2 linked regions of the Caenorhabditis elegans genome follow. The protein of the gene in region 1 interacts with the protein of each later gene in a pairwise test. Each region holds a gene or a part of one and is shown on either strand. Other genes may lie near its edges. The genes, in order: M162.5 and vdac-1.

The links.
Region 2: the proteins of M162.5 (region 1) and vdac-1 interact in a two-hybrid assay, tested with the Caenorhabditis elegans proteins (one large-scale study listed by BioGRID).

The regions. Positions count from the first base shown.
Region 1 is NC_003283.11:19,758,944-19,768,029, forward strand, and holds M162.5 (Major facilitator superfamily (MFS) profile domain-containing protein), read left to right. Parts: upstream 1-2,107; 5' UTR 2,108-2,115; coding exon 2,116-2,203; intron 2,204-3,020; coding exon 3,021-3,388; intron 3,389-6,114; coding exon 6,115-6,361; intron 6,362-6,417; coding exon 6,418-6,702; intron 6,703-7,284; coding exon 7,285-7,478; intron 7,479-7,534; coding exon 7,535-7,816; 3' UTR 7,817-7,821; downstream 7,822-9,086.
Region 2 is NC_003282.8:7,505,921-7,510,859, reverse strand, and holds vdac-1 (putative voltage-dependent anion-selective channel), read left to right. Parts: upstream 1-2,968; 5' UTR 2,969-2,971; coding exon 2,972-3,035; intron 3,036-3,108; coding exon 3,109-3,249; intron 3,250-3,416; coding exon 3,417-3,586; intron 3,587-3,743; coding exon 3,744-4,001; intron 4,002-4,047; coding exon 4,048-4,266; 3' UTR 4,267-4,439; downstream 4,440-4,939. Other genes in the region: plc-4 (Phosphoinositide phospholipase C), read left to right, coding at 16-379, 424-968, 1,018-1,182; R05G6.5 (Uroporphyrinogen-III synthase), read right to left, coding at 1,385-1,423, 1,475-1,590, 1,642-1,721, 1,899-2,086, 2,134-2,277; Putative sodium-dependent excitatory amino acid transporter glt-6, read right to left, coding at 4,572-4,850, 4,895-4,939. UniProt on the Caenorhabditis elegans protein: Forms a channel through the cell membrane that allows diffusion of small hydrophilic molecules. Plays a role in maintaining mitochondrial morphology.

The sequences.
Region 1 (9,086 bases):
CGCGGTTCGGTTTTAGTTGTAAAACTAAATTTATTTGTCCGTGTGGAGTACACAAATCTCCCACGTGGAGCAATTTTACGGGCCTCTAAAGTAGTGGAAAAATGCACTGATAGCAATTTCAAATCAAATTTTTTCCAGTTCGAAGTGCTCGTCCACCGCTAAATTTTTTTATAGGGACCTTCCTGAAAGCTGAAATTGAAAAAGTAATAAACTAAATTTCAGAAAAATTAGATTTTTTTCAGATTTTCAATAAATTTAAAAAAAAACGTTTTTCTATTGGTTTTCCAGTTGAAAAACAATGTAAAAAGGTTTCTTTTTCAAATTTTTTCTTGTTAATACAATAGAGTTTATTGTGTGCCAAAATAATAGAAATTAGAATCATGATACATCTATCATTAAAAATAAATGTTATACATACTAGGGCTCCCATGCGATCGCCACAACGGCGCCTCCGCCGACCTCAGCGGTCACCGCGCAGGCCTCACGGCGTCACCCACGCAAACCCCGAACACGTCGGCCGCTTCCAAACAACAGCTTCTTTGCACTACGTTGCGCACACACCAAGGTACTCATTTCACGCTAAGCTGCGGAACCCTGAACGTGTCGGCCGCTATAAATAACTACCTTTTGCACTTCGTTGCACACACACAACGCCGGCGGCGTGAGATCAGCATTTTGGGCCTCACTCAGCTGGGTTGTAATATTTGGCGTATTTTGATTGTTTGTCTCATGTTAGTTTGTCGATTTAAAGCCGATAGGTAACTAAATCCAAACTTCTAGACTTAAACCAAGTACATCAAAAACTATACCTCACCTGTTAAACCTGTTTTTTTTACCGCCACCTACTCAATAATATCAAGAACTACCGACGATTCTTTTTTTTTCTAGTTATACTCTATCACAGCTTTTAAAAGAAATTGTTCGGTCATTGAATGATTATATCATATCACATCATTTTCTGTTGGATAGAATCACGTATCGAGGTCACTTTGGTCGAATTAGCGGAGAATTTTGCTTTCGATTGGAACTTTTACAATTCTAACTGTATTTTTATTTATTATACTTTTTTTTTGTTTGCATTAATCAATAAAGTGTATTTACTGTAGTGTAATGTACTACATATGACGATACATACATTTTAAATAAATTTAAACAACTGCGTATTAAATAAAAAAGTGAGCAAGTAGTGTTGTCTATTTACGTTTTACTTTGTATCTATGTAACAAAAACAGCTATCAAAAAACTTTTCATACTGTAAGAACATTTTATTAAAAGTGGTGTTTTTTATTGCTTTACTAGACTTAAAATTGTTTGAAAACACCGAATTTCATAATGTAACTTTTTGAAAACTTCTCAAAAAGTGACCTAAAAATAGTTAAAACTTGAAATTTGACCGACTTGTCGTTTAACTATGGGCATACAAGCTAATTATCTTGCGGTTCCAACTATTTGGGTACATTTAAGGTCGATGGACAACTAGAATTGGTAAAATTTGATAAATTCTGGTGATCGGCTAAACATGTACCTAAAACAAATGGAAAATGCAAGATAATTAAAATGTATACTCAAAATTTAACGGTGATTTCAAAAAAAGATAGTTTTCAGCCGCTTGACAAGTCGCTCAAATTTCAAGTTTTAACTATTTTTAGGTCATTTTTTGAGCCGCCATAAAAACTTTTTGAAAAGTTTTCAAGAAGTTTCACCATAAAATTTGGTTGTTTCAGGCAATTTCAAATCTAACAAAGCCTTTAACGGAGTAGGAAAAATAAAAAATAAAAAGAGCAAAAAGTGTTGTTAATTTACACCCAAAAATTCTATTGAGAGGAAATTTTGTTTTAATAGATAATTTTGACATCATCTTCTCCACTAAAACTTGATAAAAGATCAATTGAAAACGAGAGATTTTTAAAGATTACGAATCGAACTTCACTTCCATCATCATGTTTTGTTATTTTGATGTCTATTCTTTTCATTCGCTGAACAATAATTGGCTTCCCTCCAACCCTTCCAACAAACTGGACAGTCCTCCTCTTCACAGTGTTCGAAACTTATTTTTCTCACCATTTATACTGTTTTTCTGTTCGGTTTATATACATAATATGTTCAGGTAATACAATGAAAGTGGCGCCGGAGAAGAAGCCACCGATTCCGGTGGTTATTACTGCAGAGCAGATGAGCTCTGAGGCCAAGGAGAATGGATTAGGTAAGACTAGAATCAGGTAAGAAGGTGAGCTAGTGAAAAATTCCAAAACTTTGATTTTCCGACCTATAAAATGGTTGAAAATCCATGTTCATTATTGAAAACATCTTTTAAAAAAACCCACTTTGAATATCTTATAAGCACTAAATTTTCAGTTAGAACACCCAAATATTATATGAAAATTTGAATTTCTCGCCAAAACTTATTTCTCAAAACCTTGAATTTCCCGTCGAAATAATTGTCTCAAAAAATTTAAATTTCCCGCCAAAACTTGTTTCTCAAACAAAATTTGAAGTTCCCGGCAAAATAATTTATTCTCAGAAAATTTTAATTTCCCGCCAAAATAATTTTTCAAAAAAAATTCTCAGAAAATTTGAATTTACCGCCAAAATAATTTATTCTCAGAAAATTTGAATTTCCCGCCAAAATAATTTATTCTCAGAAAATTTGAATTTCCCGCCAAAATAATTTTTTCTCAGAAAATTTAAGTTTCCCGCCCAAAAATGTTTCTTAAGTTAGAAAATTTGAATTTCCCGCCGAAATATTGTTCTCAGAAAATTTTTATTCCACGTCAAAATAATTTTTCAAAAAAAAAATTTCTCAAAAAATTTGAATTTTCCGCCAAAATGTTTTTTTCTCAGAACATTTCAATTTCCCGCCAAAATATTTTTTTCTCAAAAAATTTAAATTTCCCGCCAAAAAAATTTCTAAAAAATTGTCAATTTTCCACCAAAAATGTTTTCTCAAAAAATTTGAATTTTCCGCCAAAATATTGTTCTCAGAAAATTTAAATTTCCCGCCACAAAGCTATAACTTCCAGAACCCTCCTCCTCCAAAATCCGTTACATCGTGCTCATTCTCAGCATGACCTGTCTCTCATTCATGATGTCCAATGTGATCTGCTTCAACTTCACCGTCCTCTGTATGCCAGGCACTGGCGAGTCGTCGGAGCTCACCGGAAACAAGACCCAATACATTGGATACAATAGGCAGGAGAAGACGTGGTTGTTCAGTACAGTGGCTGTAGGTGCCATGTTCGGATTGTTTCCGGTGATCATTGGAATTAGTACATATGGATTGAGAAAGGTGTTTTTTGCCGCGGGCATGTTAACCTCGCTAACTACTTTTTTGATTCCTATTGTGGCACCGATGGATTTCAATTTGTTCCTGTTGATGAGATTTCTGCAGGTACGATTTATTTACAGAGAATGACTACCAGGGCACGTGGAGTCAGAAATTCCCATTTCGCTTTGATCTTCGAAAAATGCGGGAGATCTGATTTCCCAGAGCGTGCTGACGACGTCACAAATTTTCTGGGAAAATACTCCCGCATTCTTTGTAGATCAAACTGTAATGAGACAGCCTGACACCACGTGCCAGGGGTGTGCGGATAAAAGCCGATTTAGCCAAATTCGCAGATCGACAAATTGCCGGAATTAAAATTCCCGGCAAATTGGTAGATTACCGGATTTGTAAATTTCCGGCAAATCGACAAACTGCCGGATTTGTAAATTTCCGGCAAATCGACAAATTGCCGGATTTGTAAATTTCCGGCAAATCGACAAATTGCCGGAATTAAAATTCCCGGCAAATCGACAAATTGCCGGAATTAAAATTCCCGGCAAATTGGTAGATTACCGGATTTGTAAATTTCCGGCAAATCGAAAAATTACCGAATTTGTAAATTTCCGGCAAATCGACAAATTGCCGGAATTAAAATTCCCGGCAAATTGGTAGATTACCGGATTTGTAAATTTCCGGCAAATCGACAAATTGCCGGAATTAAAATTCCCGGCAAATTGGTAGATTACCGGATTTGTAAATTTCCGGCAAATCGACAAATTGCCGGATTTGTAAATTTCCGGCAAATCGACAAATTGCCGGATTTGTAAATTTCCGGCAAATCGACAAATTGCCGGAATTAAAACTCCCGGCAAATCGACAAATTGCCGGAATTAAAATTCCCGGCAAATTGGTAGATTACCGGATTTGTAAATTTCCGGCAAATCGAAAAATTACCGAATTTGTAAATTTCCGGCAAATCGACAAATTGCCGGAATTAAAATTCCCGGCAAATTGGTAGATTACCGGATTTGTAAATTTCCGGCAAATCGACAAATTGCCGGAATTAAAATTCCCGGCAAATTGGTAGATTACCGGATTTGTAAATTTCCGGCAAATCGACAAATTGCCGGATTTGTAAATTTCCGGCAAATCGACAAATTGCCGGATTTGTAAATTTCCGGCAAATCGACAAATTGCCGGAATTAAAATTCCCGGCAAATCGACAAATTGCCGGAATTAAAATTCCCGGCAAATTGGTAGATTACCGGATTTGTAAATTTCCGGCAAATCGAAAAATTACCGAATTTGTAAATTTCCGGCAAATCGACAAATTGCCGGAATTAAAATTCCCGGCAAATTGGTAGATTACCGGATTTGTAAATTTCCGGCAAATCGACAAATTGCCGGAATTAAAATTCCCGGCAAATTGGTAGATTACCGGATTTGTAAATTTCCGGCAAATCGACAAATTGCCGGATTTGTAAATTTCCGGCAAATCGACAAATTGCCGGATTTGTAAATTTCCGGCAAATCGACGAATTGCCGGAATTAAAATTCCCGGCAAATTGGTAGATTACCGGATTTGTAAATTTCCGGCAAATCGACAAATTGCCGGATTTGTAAATTTCCGGCAAATCGACAAATTGCCGGATTTGTAAATTTCCGGCAAATCGACAAATTGCCGGAATTAAAATTCCCGGCAAATTGGTAGATTACCGGATTTGTAAATTTCCGGCAAATCGACAAATTGCCGGATTTGTAAATTTCCGGCAAATCGACAAATTGCCGGATTTGTAAATTTCCGGCAAATCGACGAATTGCCGGAATCGTTTTGTTTGATTCGGCTAACTCGAGCAATATTAGTCGAAATAGCCGTTAGCCGTATTTATAGCAATTCGGAGCAAAGGCGGTCAATCGGTAGTAGTCGATTTTGGGCGATGTTATCCAAAAAGTTCATCAATGAATTTGCTCAATAACAATTTAGAGGGATTTGTAATTATACGGAAACACCTAAAACTGTGCCTTTTTGAATTTTAAAAAAATTTTAAAAAATTTAAAAAAAATACAAAATTTTCCCGTTATCTTTAGATATTTTCAAAGAATTTGCTTACTTTTCAAAATAGATGTAGGAAAAGTCATAGAATGCGTACATTTTTTCCGGCAATTTATCAATTTATCAGGAATTTCAATTCCTTTTTTTCTCAATTCCGGCAATTTGTCGATTTGCCTGAAATTTACAAATCCGGTTTTTGCCAATTTGCCGGAAATTTACAAATCCGGTAATTTGTCGATTTACCGGAAATTTACAAATCCGGTAATCTACCAATTTGCCGGGAATTTTAATTCCGGCAATTTGTCGATTTGCCGGAAATTTACAAATTCGGCAATTTGTCGATTTGCCGGAAATTTACAAATCCGGTAATCTACCAATTTGCCGGGAATTTTAATTCCGGCAATTTGTCGATTTGCAGGAAATTTACAAATCCGGTAATCTACCAATTTGCCGGGAATTTTAATTCCGGCAATTCGTCGATTTGCCTGAAATTTACAAATCCGGTAATCTACCAATTTGCCGGGAATTTTAATTCAGGCAATTTGTTGATTTGCCGGAAATTTACAAATCCGGTAATCTACCAATTTGCCGGGAATTTTACTTCCGGCAATTTGTCGATTTGCCGGAAATTTACAAATTCGGCAATTTGTCGATTTGCCGGAAATTTACAAATCCGGCAATTTGCCGATTTGCCGATTTGCCGAATTGCCGGGAATTTTTTTGCCAAACTGCCTATTTGCCGTTTGCCGGAAAATTGTTTCCCATCGACTCCCTGCTGTATACTGCTACCTTTCAGGGAATGTCCTACGCCGGCTGTATGCCAGCTGTTGGGGCCATCACTTCTTCCTGGGCTTCTCTAACCCAACAGGGATTATTTATTGCTGCACTGACCACATTCGGTCAGCTCTCCTCGATCTTCTCAATGCCCATTGCTGGGGAGCTCTGTGTTTCTCCGTTTGGCTGGAAGTCTGTCTACTTTCTGCATGCCGCAATTTCAATGGTCATTTTTTTGGCATGGTTCGCAGTATTTACAGATTCACCGAGTAAGTTGTTCAACTTTTTATAAAGTCTACACAGTCTACATATGATCTAACTCCAGGCACCAACAAGCTCGTAAAATCAACCGAGCTCCTTGAAATCCAAAAAGGAAAATCCGACGCAGCTGCGAATGGCAAGCAAGAGGCGACACCCTACCTGGAAATCCTCACAACTCCATCTGTCTGGGGTATATGGATTGGTGCCCTGGGAGATCTTATAGCCGTCCAACTGATTCACATCTACTCACCTGTCTACTTACATGATATTGGAGGTTATTCAGTGGAGAAGACCGGCTTTGCAGCCGCCGTACCGGTGTTGTTTCAGTTTTTTATGAAGCTTTTTGCAGGTGGGTATTCAGTCTATTTTGGACCTACTAGCCCAAACTTTAGGCCCTAAGCCTAAGTGTCAAAATTTGAAAGCCTAGGCCGAAAATTCCAAGCCATGCTCCTTGAGCCTCTGCCAGCAGCATAGGGGCCTGGTATGTTGCGATCGGTAACGTGCATCATTGGTTTTAAAACAAAACTTGAGAGCCTAAGCCTAAAATTGTGAATCTTAGGCTTGGCATGACTTGGGCTTAATTGTAGTCTCAGGTGGGGCTTGGCCTAGGGTAGAGATACTTTAAGCCCTTGGCCCTGAAACTGAAAACCGGGCTTTCTGTTCGAATCGGTAATTTCCATCCCTTCAGCCAAAGTCTCTACAACCTCAGTTCCTAAACCAAAACCTTAGCAGGGGTACTTTAAGCTCTAGGCCCTAAGACTAAAAATCGGGACTAAAAATCGGGACCCACAAGCGCCAGGTCTATTTCAGCCCAAGCATTTTAGACCTCGGGTCACAAAACAACACATCAAAGCTTTAGGCCAGATTGCTAAGTCCACGGGAAGTTACTTGAAACTCTAAGTCGCCGGGCCGGCAACCTCCACAATTTCAGGCCACTCCAGTGACCGAATCTCTGGAATATCTGAGACAACAAAGCTCCGGATCTACAATACTATTGCTCTGGGCGCCAGTGCCGTATTTCTAGCTGCTCTGGGTTTTGTAAAAGAAGGCCAGGGGCTGACCGGCTTGACACTCATGACTGTAGCCACCGCAATGTTTGGATTCAACGGTGGAGGTTTTATAAAGGTAATCTACAGAGTTTTGAATGAAAAATTTAAATTTTAAAAGCTTTAAAATTCCAGTGCGCCGCCCTTGTCTCCCGACAGCACAATCATTTTGTCATGGCAAACGTCCAGTTCCTGCTGTGCCTCTCGATGCTTCTCTGTCCAATACTTGTATCATTTTTGCTTCGACACGGAACTATAACTGAATGGAGATTGGTTTTCTTTGTTCACGCCGGAATCCTTGCCGCTTGTAATCTTATATTTTGTCTGTTGGCCACTGCAAAACCGGCTCCCTGGACAGATCGGACGTTGAAGCCATCGGCGTCGAGAAACACACCATTGTATACAATAAAGTATTGATTATAATGTATTCGGAGCATTTTTTATAATCAAAATCAAGGTCAAAATCTTGAGAAGAATTTTCCAGTTTTCCGCAAAAATTGACTGAAAATTTGAATTTCCCGCAAAAAATTGACTGAAAATTTGAATTTCCCGCCAAAAATTGACTGAAAATTTGAACATCCCGCAAAAAAAATTGACTGAAAATTTGAATTTCCCGCAAAAAAATTGACTGAAAATTTGAACTTCCCGCCAAAAAATAGACTGAAAATTTGAATTTCTCGCAAAAAATTGACTGAAAATTTGAATTTCCCGCAAAAACTTTATTTGTTTTTTTTTTAGTTTTTTTTTTTTTTTTTTCAAAAAATTTGAACTTCCACCCAAAATATTTTCGAAGGGTCTCACCACGAGAGGAGCCAGAGATTTTCAAAACATCAAGAAATTTGGTAGTTGTGGACCATTTTGGGTCTAAAAAAGCAAAGTTTTCATATTATTTTACATTCTCCAAATATTCGTTTCTCTGAAAATTTTCAAAAAAACTGTGAACGTACATTTCATTACATGAAAACCAAAAAATAAAATGGCAAAAAATGCATGTCACCCTGTGTTATAAGATGAATTGTGGTGAATACTTAAACCTTTACTATAATCAATTTTTGAAATTCATGACTAGCTTCTTGATCATAGGGAATAAACCATGTCTTTAAAGAAAATAGTTTGATCGTTTACCACTACATTCATGGCGAGTTGAAAACAAAGTTATCATATGCATATGATTGAAAATTTTATGAAGATCATTTTATTAATACAATTATTTTTATGGAGGCAATTTTTTCTTGAGTTACAGACGATTTTGGATGTGAGGTCAAAAACCGACCCGCCAGGTGGGTGCCGCTGTAACATTTTTTACGACAGTGTTTTTGAGATAATACTTATACGGCAATGTGAACAACACCTTGGCCAACATTTTGTTAGTTGACCGTTTTTAAAAACAGTGTTTATTTTCTGAGATATGGTTATTTGAACACAACCCAAAATTCACAAAAAAATCGTTTGTGCATAGTATGCACAAACGATTTTTGCACTGCATACCTTTATGGCCGGCATTGTAGGTACTAGCCGTTTTTAACGGACGGCAGTTACAAGGAAGAGAAGGGGGCGGAGCGAGATTGCCGATTGGCTGCGGGATTGTACTCTAGCGGAAAAGAGACGGAGGGGGATTGAGAATACCGACGACAGAGGTCGTCGTTTTTCCCTTTTTGTGAGCGACTGGTGATTGCTCTCTACTAGA
Region 2 (4,939 bases), on another chromosome or scaffold:
AATGTTTCATTTCAGAGAACTGCGTTTGAAACATCACCATATCCTGTCATCCTCACCCTCGAAAACCACGTCGGATTTGTACAACAGGCTGTTATGGCAGATTTATTCAAAGAAATTCTTGGAGATTCTTTATATATTCCACCAAAAGATTCACATCGCCATCCGTTATCATCTCCGAATAAGCTGAAAAGAAAATTCCTATTGCGCGGAAAGAAAATTATTCTTGAAGAAGACATTGAAGAACCAGATGAAGATGATTCACCAACTGATAAGGATAAGCACCATGTACATCCACATCCAGTTGCACCTGAATTATCAGCTCTCATTGGTTTGCCGTCAGTAAAATTGAGCCATAATATTTATCAAGACGTCAACAAACGTTAGTTTAAAACGTCAAAAATAGATTAATATGCAAACTTTCAGATCCATTTGATGGAAGTCCTTCGCTCTCGGAAAATAAAGTATATACAATGTTTGAAGCTGCAGTTCCCATCTTCACTTACACTGCAGAAAGGCTTGTGAAGAGTTATCCAAAAGGATTACGTCAAGATTCATCAAATATGCATCCAATGGTTTCTTGGCTTTGTGGAATTCAAAGTGTTGCTATGAACTTCCAAACCGCTGGTGAAGAGCTTGATTTGAATGCAGGATTATTCAGAATTAATGGAAATTGCGGTTACGTTCTGAAACCAAGTTGCCTTCTCGATGGAGTCGATCCAAGAAGTATGGCCAAACCAAAATTGAAGCTTGGTATTGGACTTTTCTCTGCTCAGTATCTTCCAAAGTCAGAACCCGGAAAAGAGATCATTGATCCATACGTCAGTGTTCAGATTTTCGGAATTCCACGAGATGAAACAAAAGCAAAAACAAGAATCATCAAGGACAATGGATTCAACCCAGAATGGAGGGATAATTTCTATTTCACACTCTCGTGCCCAGAGCTAGCAATTATTCGATTCTGTGTAAAAGTAGGTTTTGAAACATTATGGATCTAAATTTTATATTCCACTTTCGCAGGATTTTGACTCTACATCTTCGAACGACTTTGTTGGAGAATTCTCAATTCCTGTTATGAGTCTTCGTACAGGTTTCTCGCAAATTCAACTAAATACCGGATATCAACATACTCTGGACCCATCTGCATCTCTTTTTGTACGAATTGCAATGGAGGAAGAGTACTAATTCTCCTGCTTTTTAAACATATTTTTGAGACCAAAGCCGTTTTTATCACTACCTGTGTGTTATCTGATTACATGTAATATATGTTCTACTGCCCTTTCTTTCGCATAGTTTTGTAGTTAATTTTTAATGCATATTTTTAAAAAATTTATTGTTTTATTGGTTTATGGGTATTTACACTATATTATTTTTTAGAAACATAAACTTATTGGCGTAGTTGGTGTAGATAATCTGCGAGCCATTTCTGAAAGAGTCAAAAAAATCATGTTACTAAATGGTGTATTCGAAAACAAACAATTGGATTATCCGGTCTCTCAACTGCTACGCGAGCCAGTCCCTGGCTCAGTTTCGGCCATACTTCTACTGAGAGATAATCCTTGGCATGTTTCAGCATTGCTCTTTCGTCAATGTCTGAATATATTTTTATGGGAGAGTCAAAATTCTAACTTTATGGAATCTTACACTTGGGGAAAAAGAAAATTATATCGTGATAGGCGGCAATTGTCGTTTTTGAATAATATATTCCATCACTTGAACTCATTCTGAATTAAACGCTTGTGAAGTTTTAAAACTCTTCGGATAGATTTTTTGAAAAACCTCCAAAAGTGTGAAGGTTTCGTACCGAAACGAGACTACGGTAACGGTTATTTTCAACTGTGCGCAATGTTTTTCTTCCATTGTTTTTCAGTATTTTCGGATGTTTGTTGGTCTTTGCTCACCTCTTAGCGATCACATTGTGATATTTGGCCACTTCTTTCATCTCAATAAAAGCATTCGCTCGTTGACACAATAGTAACATGCATGGTCCGTCTATTAGCCTGTCTGATAAGTTCCAGATATCTTGGGATTCAAGATCAGCACTTTTCCACTCCATGACTTCTTCAGTTTTAAAATGCTTCACAGTTTTCTAAATAATCAGTTTCTTCTTCTTTAATTTTCATATATACAACTTACCTCTATAATCCCGAAGTTTTCTTTTGTTATGTGCTTCAGTACGGATTCATATTCATAGAAATAGTTCGGCAGAATAATTACAATTATTCTATCGACTAGGTTTGGATTTTCCAGTTGTGGCTTAGAGACTTCCGAGCGGTACATTTCGAATAGGTTAGATGCAAGTGACAGAAGTGAACTGAATTCGCTGAACCAGGTGATGCGGAAACTATTTGGATTTGTGCTCAATTTCCGGTACCATTTCCTGGTTTAACGCTAAATTTGAGATTTCTTGCTAATTTCATTTTGTTTCGTTAGTCAATATTTCTTTCATTGCATCAAATCTTTTCTTCTCAGTGCATCATTCAATTTTGAAAAACTGCCAAAATAATCCAGTACTTTTGGAAGCGGAGCGGTCGCGCTGCAGTAACCAGTCTCTGTGCCTCTCATTTTCGTCCTATGTCTCGAGACGGGCGGTCGCCGCGCCAATGTGCTTGCCTTTGAACTCTCAATTTGCTGTTGTGGCGTGATCTGTCCTTTCTCTATCGCATTCAATGTTTTCGATACCGTCGGAGTTTTATGTTACAAATGTTTGCTTCTGAATTTCCCGATAAGATAATTGTAAATCATTTAACTGAAACCCTGAATATATTTTTTGGCGATGTTGTGTTTTCTGGCGCATTGTTTATCGACTTCCTACTGCTGCCATTGAGTTGGTTTATCTCTTTCTTTCCGTTTTTCTCGTATGCACTGCTCAATGCAAACATTTTCAAAGCCTTCATTTTTCGAAAATTTCCTATTTTCCTTCTCTCGTGTAACTCTAGAATGCATGTTTCAAAAAATATTTTGTGTTTAGAAAATGGCCCCACCAACCTTCGCTGATCTTGGAAAGTCCGCCAAGGACCTCTTCAACAAAGGATACAGTAAGTTTCAATTTTATCTTTGTAGAGAGGAATAGTGTTAGGTCATTTATTCGCCTGATTAATTTTTTTCCAGACTTTGGATTCCTCAAGATCGACTCCACCACTAGAGCTGGAGACAACAAGGAGGTTGAGTTCAAATCAGCCGCTTCTCACAATATCGGATCCGGAAAGCTTGGAGGAAATCTCGATGTCAAGTACAAGATCCCACAATACGGTAAGCTCGTCTGAACATCTTATTGTCTACCCGCTAGATGGGGACAACCTCGTGACGCAGGTGATGCAATTGTATGTACTCTAAAACACCACGTGACGTCTAGCGACCGCTCAACAAAAATACAACATATTGTGTGAGAGATATCAATCATGTTGTTTCGTTTTCAGGAATCACTTTGACCGAGAAATGGAACACCGAGAACCAGCTCGGAACTGTTATCGAAGTTAATGAGCAATTCGGACGTGGACTCAAGGTCACTCTCGATTCTCTTTATGCCCCACACGCCGGAAAGAGAAGCGGAAAAGTGAAGCTCGACTGGGCTCTCCCAACTGCTAGAGTGAGTAGTCTTGTACATATTTTGGGTGATAAGATTGGCGAAGCTCGTCTCAAGCTTGACTGGAAGCATGATTGTTTCAGGGTTCGATTTTCTGAATGTAGAAATAGAGATTTCAAAAATCCATCTTTGTGAAATGAAACAAATTAGCCATTTACAGGTTACCGCTGATGTTGGAGTCACCTCTGCTCCAGTTATCAACGCTGCCGGAGTCTTCTCCCGTGACGGATGGCTCATCGGAGCTGCCGCCACCTTCGATTCTTCATCGAATAAGTTGGCAGCCACTTCTTTGGCTTTCGGACACTCCACTCCACAATACACCCTCCACTCTTTCGTTATTAACTCAACCGACTTCGGAGCTTCCCTTTACCACAAGGTTGCCTCCAACGTCGAGGTTGGAACTCAACTCGGATGGAAGGTAAACTTTTTAAAATCCTAGAACCAAAACTAAAGTGAATTTTCAGGTTGGTGGAAACGGAGCTGACTACGCTCTCGCCACCAAGTATGCTCCAAGCCGTGACCTTACTGTCCGCGCCAAGGTCAACAGCTCTTCCCAAGTTGCCGTTGCTGCCACACACTCCTTGTCTCCAGCTCTTAAGCTGACACTTTCCACTCAATTCAACCTTGCTGCCAATGATGCTCACAAGTTCGGACTTGGACTCGAATTCGATCCATCCAACTAGATCTTCCGATCACTTCCATTCTCCCATCAATAGCGTTCTTAAAATTCTTTTAGTCCTCAACCGTTGATTTTTCAATGTCGATTTATGTTCTCTAAACTTCGAAAAAAAAGAAATGTCATGCGCTATTTACTTTTCTGCTAAATTTTACAAACATAAATTATTGAGTTTCATCAGTGGCTTAAAATAGTAAAAATGATATGTACAAAACAATCCATGGGTTCTCGCGGAAAGAGGAGAGAATAACCGTTTTCTGTTTTGGAATGGAAAAGTGACATGGACAAAAAATGTAAATATTGATCATGGAACTACACGTTTTCATCGTTGGGCAGAGGTGTGTATGGTGGTTCAATGTTATTATTACGCCAGGAAAGATGCAAGTTGGTGGATGAAGGACGACGAGAGCCAATTCGTGATCCAATTCTTGAGTTTCCAGCTGTGTTCGCGTGTGTCAAGAAGAGCTCCTTAGAAGCTTCTGACATTGTGAATGATGGTCTTCTACTGGTGGCAGCTGACTTCAATAGTTCAATTTCTCCTTTCAGTTCAGTCTTATAATCGTGACGAGCGTCTGCTTGATCCAGCTTTTTCTTAAAATATACAATTGTCTCCAAGTTCGAGTTTTCTATCAAACCTGCAATAAATGCTGAACCATTGAAGCAGCAAACGCATCCCCTAG